2 linked regions of the Saccharomyces cerevisiae S288C genome follow. The protein of the gene in region 1 purifies or fractionates together with the protein of each later gene. This does not show direct contact. Each region holds a gene or a part of one and is shown in the gene's direction. Other genes may lie near its edges.

Region 1 (4,627 bases):
ATTAACATCTTTATTGGCCGATTGAGGCTTCATTGGTAGCGTAGTTAAAAGTGTAGCTCTATTCGATAGAGTGTTATTATTATTCAACATAACGTCACTTGAAACGACAGGAGGGCTTCTCTTAACCCTCTTGTTAGGTGAAGATGATGGTGGTTCTGACGCACAGGAACTAGCCAAAGGATACTGAACCATCACAATATGATGTATGATTTCACTTAAAGGGTAAAGCGTGGGGTCGAAGCCAAAATCCTTGACAATACCACCTATGACCAAATACAGTAGCCTTAGTTGTACCTGAGCCGCGGGGAAATGAGATAAGTTATGTCTTGTAGCGGCACCGAACAGTCTTTGAGACAACAAAGCCAGATTTTCAGGAGAGCACGTCTTGGCAGTGATATACTTCATTGAAGAAGAGACCAAGTTGGAGAAAAATCGTTCGATAACGAATGCAATAGACATTCGGATTGACATTTCACCCAAAATCTCCAGATTTGCGTATATATCAATGGATCCTGCAGCCTGCGAAATGTCCTGACAAGTTCTTGATCTTTGGATTTGTAGGAGTAACTTTTCCCTCAGGAAAAATGGCACGGTAGAATCTATCGGGATGTTTGTGGTAATGTTAGGTTGCTGGCTGAGTGAAGACGTAGCAAAATGTGACAGGTTTGGCCCAGTATATGGGTCCTTGAGAGCTTGTTCTGATAGGGGTACGACATTCGTAACAAGATCGTGCACTAGCATGGTGACTATATCGTTATACTTTTGTTGGGTCGAAGTAACCGATGGAGATGAGTCATTTTGGGTGCCCACGGTTGGAAAAATGGTTCCGTTATGACTCTGGTGACTCATGAGAGGCTGGAACTTGTTTGAAAACTGGAAATCTGCAGCATAATTAGAACTAGGCAGGAAGTCCGAATTGGAGCGCTGGTAGATCGACGGAGAGATCTCGTCGTCAGAAGTAGAATTTGACGAGATGCTGTTGTTGACATTGCCGCCACTGCCATTGGCTATGCTGAGAGCGTAGCGTTTTTTTGATCGTTTTCTATTCCTTCTCACTGATTGCACAGCAGCAGTGACTAACTTTTCGAATTCCTTAGAGCAGCTTACAGGGTATCCAAACTCCGTTCTTAATATTGTAGCAATCTGCTTTATGTTTTGATCTTGTTCGCTTGCCTTATATTGACTTAGTTGGAATTTGTCTATCAGCTCCAGCCTTCTGCTCGAAAACTGTTTCCATTTCTTTTCATCATTAAAATTGAGTAATTCTCTAATCTTATGAGTTGCTCCATTCCCAGAAAACTTATTTATTCTATATTGAGTGAATGTTGGAGGACCGTTCATATGTGTATAGGATATAAGCAACGAAGAAGAATAGGTAGAAAGAGAATAAAGAAGGTTTTAAAGCTATAACTAGTAGAAAAGAAAAATGTAGGAAGGGAATGCGGATGCGTTTATGCTAAGATGCGATGGGGACAATAGAAAAAGAAGAGAAAAAAAAGGAAGAGGAAGAGGTAGTGGTATAGAGAAAGAGAGAGAAAAAAAAAGGCTAGTAGTATTTGTATAGTAGGGAAAGGGCTAGATTAGAACTGAACCAAGCTGACCTGAATTGACTCAATAACACCATTCTCACCCACACAAGTACCGAAGATCCAAAAGGCAAGAATCATGGAAGAGAGCACATTGATTTATAGTAAAAAAAAAAAAAAGAGAAGACGACGGTAGAAAGATTTCAGGGAACATATGGCTTACACTTATGCTGAAGAAGTAAGAGGGAGAAGCGAAGCAAATATAATCTGTCACAATGCACAGTGCGCAAACGTAATCTGCCCACTCAGCTAATAGCTCCTGCCATGATTCTGCTGCGTAGTCTATATGAAAGGAAACGAAGGTCAGAGATGAAAAAGAGATAAAAAAGAAAAGAAACTTCTCCGAGGGGCGCAGAATTCAGGGCAAAACAACATGGAATCGATCAAAAGTCATAGTCACCCACGGAAACGTGGCGCCTATTCCGTGGCAGCTACCCGCCCGCCGCTTGTTCTCAGGGCACTTGTCCACTGCATTCCGATGTTCCGCGGAAATTAGCACGGCCTCTTATCCCCGGCTCCGCACGATTCCCTGTGTCCGTGCATAACGAATGACTCTTGTGTCGTGTTATCCGGGCTTTCTCCTTTTCCTTTCCCCGAGAAAGCAACCGACGCATACGGATATAAGCGGATCCCACCGAAAAGGAGACTCCACGGTCTTGGTGAATAACATCGCGCAGATTATTCTGCGAACCGTGGCTAATAGGAGCATGCCCGAAGAAATGATTATGGGTGCGTGATCACCAATCTGTGTGAGGCTGTCGAAGATATCTGATAATCAGTAAGCGATAAAAAAAAAATAAAAATAAAAAAATAACGACACCAGCAGGATTTGAACCAGCGCGGGCAGAGCCCAACAGATTTCAAGTCTGTCGCCTTAACCACTCGGCCATAGTGCCTAAAACAATGTAGGTTATTTAAGCAAGTATTGTAGATACTTTTCGTAATAAACTACAATGCACCCACGACTCGCGGTGTAATGATGGCATGAAATCATTGAACGAAGTTTTGCGGCTATACGGCTGAAGGACGAGACTAAAGGGACAGGAATTATTAATGCGGGGTATAATTTGAATAGTATTAACGGGCACTGCCGTTTAGCCATCAAATGCTATTGTTGGGGTATTCTCTCTACTTTTTGTTCTTGGCTTGAACCTTTTCGGCGGTTGGCAATCGTCCGTATATAAGCATCGGCTGTCCCAATCCTCTATTGCCCTTTTCCCTTGCACCTCCTTCTCAATTCTTCGTATCTTTCGCGTAAAGGTAGATCTTGATTCACCTATCTGTCGAAACACGATTAAGTGCAAACGAAACAACGTACAGTATATAACAAAGTATTTTAAATAATAAGAATGACGAAAAAGGATAAGAAAGCAAAGGGTCCTAAGATGTCCACCATCACTACAAAAAGTGGTGAGTCCTTAAAGGTTTTTGAGGATTTGCATGATTTTGAAACATATTTAAAGGGTGAGACGGAAGATCAAGAGTTCGACCATGTCCATTGCCAACTGAAGTACTATCCACCCTTTGTCCTGCATGATGCGCATGATGATCCGGAAAAGATCAAAGAGACTGCCAATTCGCACTCTAAGAAGTTTGTTCGCCATTTACACCAGCATGTTGAGAAGCACCTGCTAAAGGACATCAAAACCGCTATCAACAAGCCAGAATTGAAATTCCACGATAAGAAAAAGCAGGAATCCTTTGACCGGATTGTTTGGAATTATGGCGAAGAAACGGAGTTGAACGCCAAGAAATTCAAGGTGTCTGTCGAAGTTGTATGTAAACACGATGGCGCAATGGTAGATGTTGATTACAAGACAGAACCCTTGCAGCCACTCATCTAAGTTTGGGGAGCTGTTTTTATGAATTAACGAAATTTTATGAATTTACGAAATATAGCATGCTATATAAAATAATTTATATGCGCATGTATTTTGGTGTGCACCTTCTTACTGGAGTGTATACAAGTCTACAAATCAACACATGTGGTTTTTTTAATGTTTTGTCGTCACAACGCGACCTTAAATAAAAGAATTCCACGCTAGATTCATGCTACTATCACGAACAATACGTACCAATTAAGCTTTCTTGGTGTAATAAAAAAAGAGAAATGTACACACCACCATGATTCCGTTTACGTCTTGCTTTTCTACTTGTTTCGCTCATGGGTTCTCATCAGCTCTATTGTGTGTGCCCTCTTTGTAGATAATTAAACACATTGAAAAAAAAGAAAACGAAAAGATGGCACACGGCTTGGTCATCGAGTGAAGAAATGAAACTTCAAAAAAATTGCCGGACACTTAAACCTTAACGAGTTATACAGAACCGTATCCAGACCTGGAGCTGGGCTATAAGAAGAAGCGACAATATGGTATACTAAATTTCTGGACTCGTAGTCACTCAGTCTGTTTGTCAGTAAGTCACGTAGACCTGTATCGGCAGTAACTATGGTATTTTTTCCAGATTAATTATTATACGATGTTGTTACTTCGATAAGGTCACAACAGGTTTTCCATTGTTGAGAAACTGACTTTGATTATTATTTAGTTAGTAGGCAACTGTCATGTTGCAACCACAACAAGCAACAATCCTTTCACCATGACTATTATAAGCGGCCGGCAAAATTGCCGGGAAAACTGCCAGGGATATAATGCAACCTTCATTTGAGCACTTAAAATAGAAGATAACGTTGGTAAACCCCCCTTGATAGTGGACACATCCTACGTAGATCTCTCTACAGCCAAGTCGTATATATAGCAGCAAATTGCAACCAACCACATGGGACATAGGAATGAGTGGTTTTCTCAGACCCTGAACGTGACCGTCCATCATGAATTTCTCCACAGTTTTTCAAGCAATAATCGCGGTTTTAGGTTTAACTACAGTCACAGCTTTAGCAGAATTTGATTTCGACGTAGGCTATGAAGAGTTTGTCCGTACCAATCCTGATACGATTTTCTTAGAGAGTGATATTGGCCTGCACGTTGGATATACCGAGGGTGGCGAACGACAGATAGCAACGATACCACACAATTCCACGC
Region 2 (5,378 bases), on another chromosome or scaffold:
CAATAACATTGATTTAAAGGAAGACGGGAATGAAAATATTTCACTTTCTGACGAAGAAGGGGATTTGCATAGCAGTATTGAGGAATGTGATGAGGGTGATGAAGAATATGATTACGAATTTACTGATATGGAAATTCCTGATTCAGTAAAACCAAAGAAAATTTCAATACACATTTTCAGAACTCTATCTCTAGCTTATATTAAAAACAAGGGTGTGAACCTAGTTAATAGAGTACTTTCTCAGATGAACGTTGAGCAAGAAGCAATAACAGAGGAGCTCCATCAAATCGAAGGCGTTGTTTCTATTTTAGAAAATCCTTCCACTCCGGACAAAACTGAAGAGGATTGGAAGGGAATTTGGTCTGTTTTAAAAAAATGTATTTTCCATGAAGATTTCGACGTGTCAGGTTTCGAATTTACTTCTACAGGGCTAGCTTCCTCCATAACTAAAAGAATTACATCCTCAACGGTATCCCATTTCATTCTTGCTAAATCATTTTTAGAGGTATTTGAGGATTGTATTGACAGATTTTTAGAAATCCTACAATCTGCTCTCACAAGGCTGGAGAATTTCTCTATAGTTGATTGCGGTTTACACGATGGTGGTGGTGTATCTTCACTGGCTAAAGAGATAAAAATTAAGTTGGTTTATGATGGCGATGCAAGCAAAGATAATATTGGTACTGATTTATCATCTACTATCGTTTCGGTCCATTGCATAGCTTCTTTTACCTCACTTAATGAGTTTTTGAGACACAGAATGGTAAGAATGCGTTTTTTGAATTCATTAATCCCAAACCTTACATCTTCCAGTACCGAAGCTGATAGGGAAGAAGAAGAAAATTGCTTGGATCATATGAGAAAAAAGAACTTTGACTTTTTTTATGATAATGAAAAAGTTGACATGGAGTCTACAGTATTTGGTGTGATATTTAATACATTCGTCAGGCGAAATCGTGACTTAAAAACTTTATGGGATGATACACATACAATCAAATTTTGCAAAAGTTTAGAAGGTAACAATAGAGAGAGTGAGGCAGCCGAGGAAGCTAATGAGGGGAAAAAGTTAAGAGATTTTTATAAAAAAAGAGAATTCGCACAGGTTGATACTGGATCTTCAGCGGATATTCTGACATTGCTGGATTTTCTACATAGCTGCGGTGTTAAAAGCGACAGTTTTATCAACTCAAAACTAAGCGCTAAGCTCGCTAGACAACTAGATGAACCATTGGTAGTAGCAAGTGGAGCTTTGCCGGATTGGTCACTATTTTTGACCAGGAGATTCCCATTTTTGTTTCCGTTTGATACCAGGATGCTTTTCCTACAATGTACTTCATTTGGTTACGGAAGATTGATTCAACTTTGGAAGAATAAGAGTAAAGGCTCGAAAGATTTAAGGAATGACGAAGCTTTACAACAACTTGGGAGAATTACTAGGCGTAAGCTGCGGATTTCAAGAAAAACAATATTCGCTACCGGTCTCAAGATTTTATCCAAGTACGGAAGTAGCCCTGACGTACTGGAAATTGAATATCAAGAAGAAGCAGGAACAGGTTTAGGACCGACTTTGGAATTTTACTCCGTAGTTTCCAAGTATTTTGCAAGAAAGTCGTTAAATATGTGGCGTTGTAACTCTTATAGTTACAGAAGCGAAATGGATGTTGATACTACTGACGATTATATTACCACTTTATTGTTCCCAGAGCCCCTCAACCCGTTTTCCAATAATGAAAAAGTTATTGAACTTTTTGGATATTTGGGGACATTTGTTGCCAGATCGTTGCTTGATAATAGAATTCTTGACTTTAGATTTAGCAAAGTCTTTTTTGAGTTATTGCACAGAATGTCTACGCCCAATGTGACGACAGTGCCGAGCGACGTTGAAACCTGTCTGTTAATGATCGAATTGGTAGATCCGTTACTCGCAAAATCCCTTAAATACATAGTAGCGAATAAGGATGACAATATGACCCTAGAATCGTTGTCCTTGACATTTACCGTTCCTGGAAATGATGACATTGAGTTGATTCCGGGGGGTTGTAATAAATCCTTGAACTCTTCTAATGTTGAAGAATATATCCATGGCGTTATCGACCAAATATTAGGTAAGGGCATTGAAAAACAGTTAAAAGCATTTATTGAAGGTTTTTCAAAGGTGTTTTCCTATGAGAGGATGCTAATACTTTTTCCGGATGAATTAGTGGATATTTTCGGACGAGTTGAGGAAGACTGGTCTATGGCAACTTTATACACAAACTTGAACGCTGAACATGGCTATACAATGGATTCTTCAATCATTCATGATTTTATATCAATAATATCCGCGTTTGGTAAGCATGAAAGAAGATTATTTTTGCAATTTTTAACGGGATCTCCCAAGCTTCCAATTGGGGGATTTAAAAGTTTGAACCCAAAGTTTACAGTTGTGTTAAAGCATGCTGAAGATGGCCTAACAGCAGACGAATATCTACCAAGTGTAATGACATGTGCTAATTATTTGAAATTGCCGAAGTATACTAGCAAAGATATTATGCGGTCTCGTCTTTGTCAAGCCATTGAAGAGGGTGCAGGAGCTTTTCTACTTTCCTAAATTTTAGTTACTTTTTCTATTTAAGTTTTATATGACTTCAAAATTATTTCTTAAGATACAAAAAATGGATGGAATCAGACTAAATTTCTTCGGATTATCCGTACTTTTCTCATTTTTTTGTTTCAACTGGCGATTCCATATTTGTTTATCCATTGCATACAACGAAGGCTTACGGTTATACAGTCTAAAGCTAAAAAAGATAGTAATATGTCGACAGCACAGAAAGCTAAGATATTGCAACTCATCGATTCCTGCTGCCAAAATGCAAAAAGCACACAACTGAAATCTTTATCATTTGTTATTGGAGCAGTAAATGGCACGACGAAAGAAGCTAAAAGAACCTACATTCAAGAACAGTGTGAATTTTTGGAGAAGTTACGACAACAAAAGATAAGAGAGGGAAGAATTAACATATTGTCTATGGATGCTGGTGTTTCTAACTTTGCTTTCTCTAAGATGCAATTGCTCAATAATGATCCGCTCCCTAAAGTACTAGACTGGCAAAAGATAAATCTAGAGGAGAAATTTTTTCAAAACCTCAAAAAGTTAAGCTTGAATCCTGCTGAAACTTCTGAGCTTGTATTTAACCTTACGGAGTATTTATTTGAATCTATGCCGATACCAGATATGTTTACAATTGAAAGGCAACGTACCAGAACTATGTCTTCGAGGCATATTTTAGACCCAATTTTAAAAGTGAATATTCTCGAACAGATTCTTTTCTCTAACTTGGAAAATAAAATGAAGTATACGAATAAAATACCGAATACGTCCAAGTTGAGGTATATGGTATGTTCGTCCGATCCACATCGGATGACTTCATATTGGTGCATTCCAAGAGAAGAGACACCGACCAGTTCAAAAAAGTTAAAATCTAACAAACATAGCAAAGATTCTCGAATAAAGCTAGTGAAAAAAATACTTTCAACCTCAATACTAGAAGGTAATTCAACTAGTTCTACAAAACTGGTCGAGTTCATAGGAGTTTGGAATAATAGGATAAGAAATGCCCTTACCAAAAAAAAAAGTTTCAAGCTATGTGATATACTAGAGATCCAAGATAATTCGGGGGTGAGAAAAGATGACGATTTGGCAGATTCATTCCTCCATTGTTTGTCTTGGATGGAGTGGTTAAAAAATTATGAAAGTATTACTGAACTCTTGAATTCAAAAACACTGGTTAAAACACAGTTCGGACAGGTGTTTGAATTTTGTGAAAATAAGGTACAAAAGCTGAAATTTTTGCAGAACACTTACAACAATGACTAAGAAATTGTGCGGTGATCGCAAACTTGAAATAACATGTAATCTCTATGTATAATTTATATAATGATTAACAAGATAGAGGTCGACACGTCAGAATCAATAGTCCAATTCCACAGCCGGAGTTAAATGCCTCTTTTTTGACGCGGTCAACGTTAAGTTTGCAGTAGCGCTTTCGGCAGTCGGTGCAGAGCTTTCAGGCTTAAAATCCTCGAAAATTTGTCTTCTTATGTTATCTTCATCGCCTAGTGCCTTGTATTCAAGAGATTCGCCAAGCTCTTTGGAAGCTAAATCCCACGTACTAGGCTTGGGCTTACCGGTTTTTGTATATGTCCTTTGCAAAAGTAACCAAAAATAGTGCTTCTTTTGCTCCAATATCCTACGCTCATTTTGGAGTTTCTGTTGTATCTTTTCGTTTCTTTGCTTTATCAAACCATCAACAATCAAACTGATGTCTTCTTTATCCACCTTGTCAAATTTCCGGTCATTTTCCAGAACTTTTTCTATGTTTTGCTTGGTGATCTCGTCGCTATCGGCATCATTCCATTCAAAATTTTGATCTATCAACGTCTGTTGGGCTATTGATCTTTGTGCAAAGATGTACATCCTTTGTTCATCAACAAAATCTAAAAATAAATCAAGGCAGGACGAGCCATTCCTTCCAAGCATATGTAAAAAGCGCGGATCAGACTTTATATGAGGATAAATATCTGACCATCTAGTATTTGCTTTGATTTTGATTGGCACTTCTCTTAATAAGCTTTTAAAGTTATCTCTAGCAATACGGTCTCTGGTATAATTGCGCAGTCGGAGCTCATTTAGTTTGTTTTGAAGATCGTTTTCAATCGTATTTACTATTTTCAGATACTCGTTTAAAACATCTTCGTGGGTTAAGACTTTGAAGTGCCGGTTCGCCATATATCTCTTACTCTTATCAAAAACATAGTGATTTAAAAGCTGCTGCCAGGTTATGAAAGTTTCAGAGGATGATGTTGTTATAATACCGTTTAAATACTCTCTTAGTTCTTTTAGGGCCTGTGTTTTCAATTTTTTTTTTGATTCTTTCTGAGTGTCGATGAGGGTATCTATATAATCTTGAAAGGTCTGTCTCTTTGTCTTTTCATTGACCACGGAGTGTTTGTATATTGGTTCGTCGGCAATTAGTCTCTTTGCGGTAGGCCAACGGGTGTAATATTTTATATGAGAATTGTTTTGCAACATTTTCTGAAAGGCTTCTTTGAATTTGCTTGTTTCATTGTGTTCCTTAAGAAGTTGATCGGCTGATCTATTGGAAAGATATTTCTCAAACATTTCTTTCTTCCATAAGGGGTCATCATCGACCATCCAATACCTTGGATCTCTGGTCCCCAGTTCTGAAATAATTCTACTGAATGACCAAGTAGAGTCTACTTGATTTTCCTTCAGCATGGTAATAAATTCCTTCTCTGCTTCTTCTTTAGTCCTTCTCCTGACATTAAGCAGTTTAGAGTTATTAGCATATTGGCTTTCCTCCTCGTTTATAGTT

Evidence for each region. The genes of interacting proteins can lie anywhere in the genome.
Region 2: the proteins of RGI2 (region 1) and CCE1 purify together in Saccharomyces cerevisiae (affinity purification with mass spectrometry, with the first as the bait; one large-scale study listed by BioGRID). This does not show direct contact.

The regions. Positions count from the first base shown.
Region 1 is NC_001141.2:246,705-251,331, reverse strand, and holds RGI2 (Rgi2p), read left to right. Parts: upstream 1-2,935; coding exon 2,936-3,430; downstream 3,431-4,627. Other genes in the region: VHR1 (Vhr1p), read right to left, coding at 1-1,341; YIL059C (uncharacterized protein), read left to right, coding at 4,417-4,627; YIL060W (uncharacterized protein), read right to left, coding at 4,506-4,627. UniProt on the Saccharomyces cerevisiae protein: Involved in the control of energetic metabolism and significantly contribute to cell fitness, especially under respiratory growth conditions.
Region 2 is NC_001143.9:418,636-424,013, reverse strand, and holds CCE1 (cruciform cutting endonuclease), read left to right. Parts: upstream 1-2,797; coding exon 2,798-3,859; downstream 3,860-5,378. Other genes in the region: putative ubiquitin-protein ligase UFD4, read left to right, coding at 1-2,590; snoRNA-splicing protein PRP40, read right to left, coding at 3,953-5,378. UniProt on the Saccharomyces cerevisiae protein: Capable of resolving Holliday junctions. Specific for 4-way junctions. Seems to be important for the maintenance of mitochondrial DNA. Cleaves fixed junctions at the point of strand exchange. Cleaves after 5'-CT-3' sequence.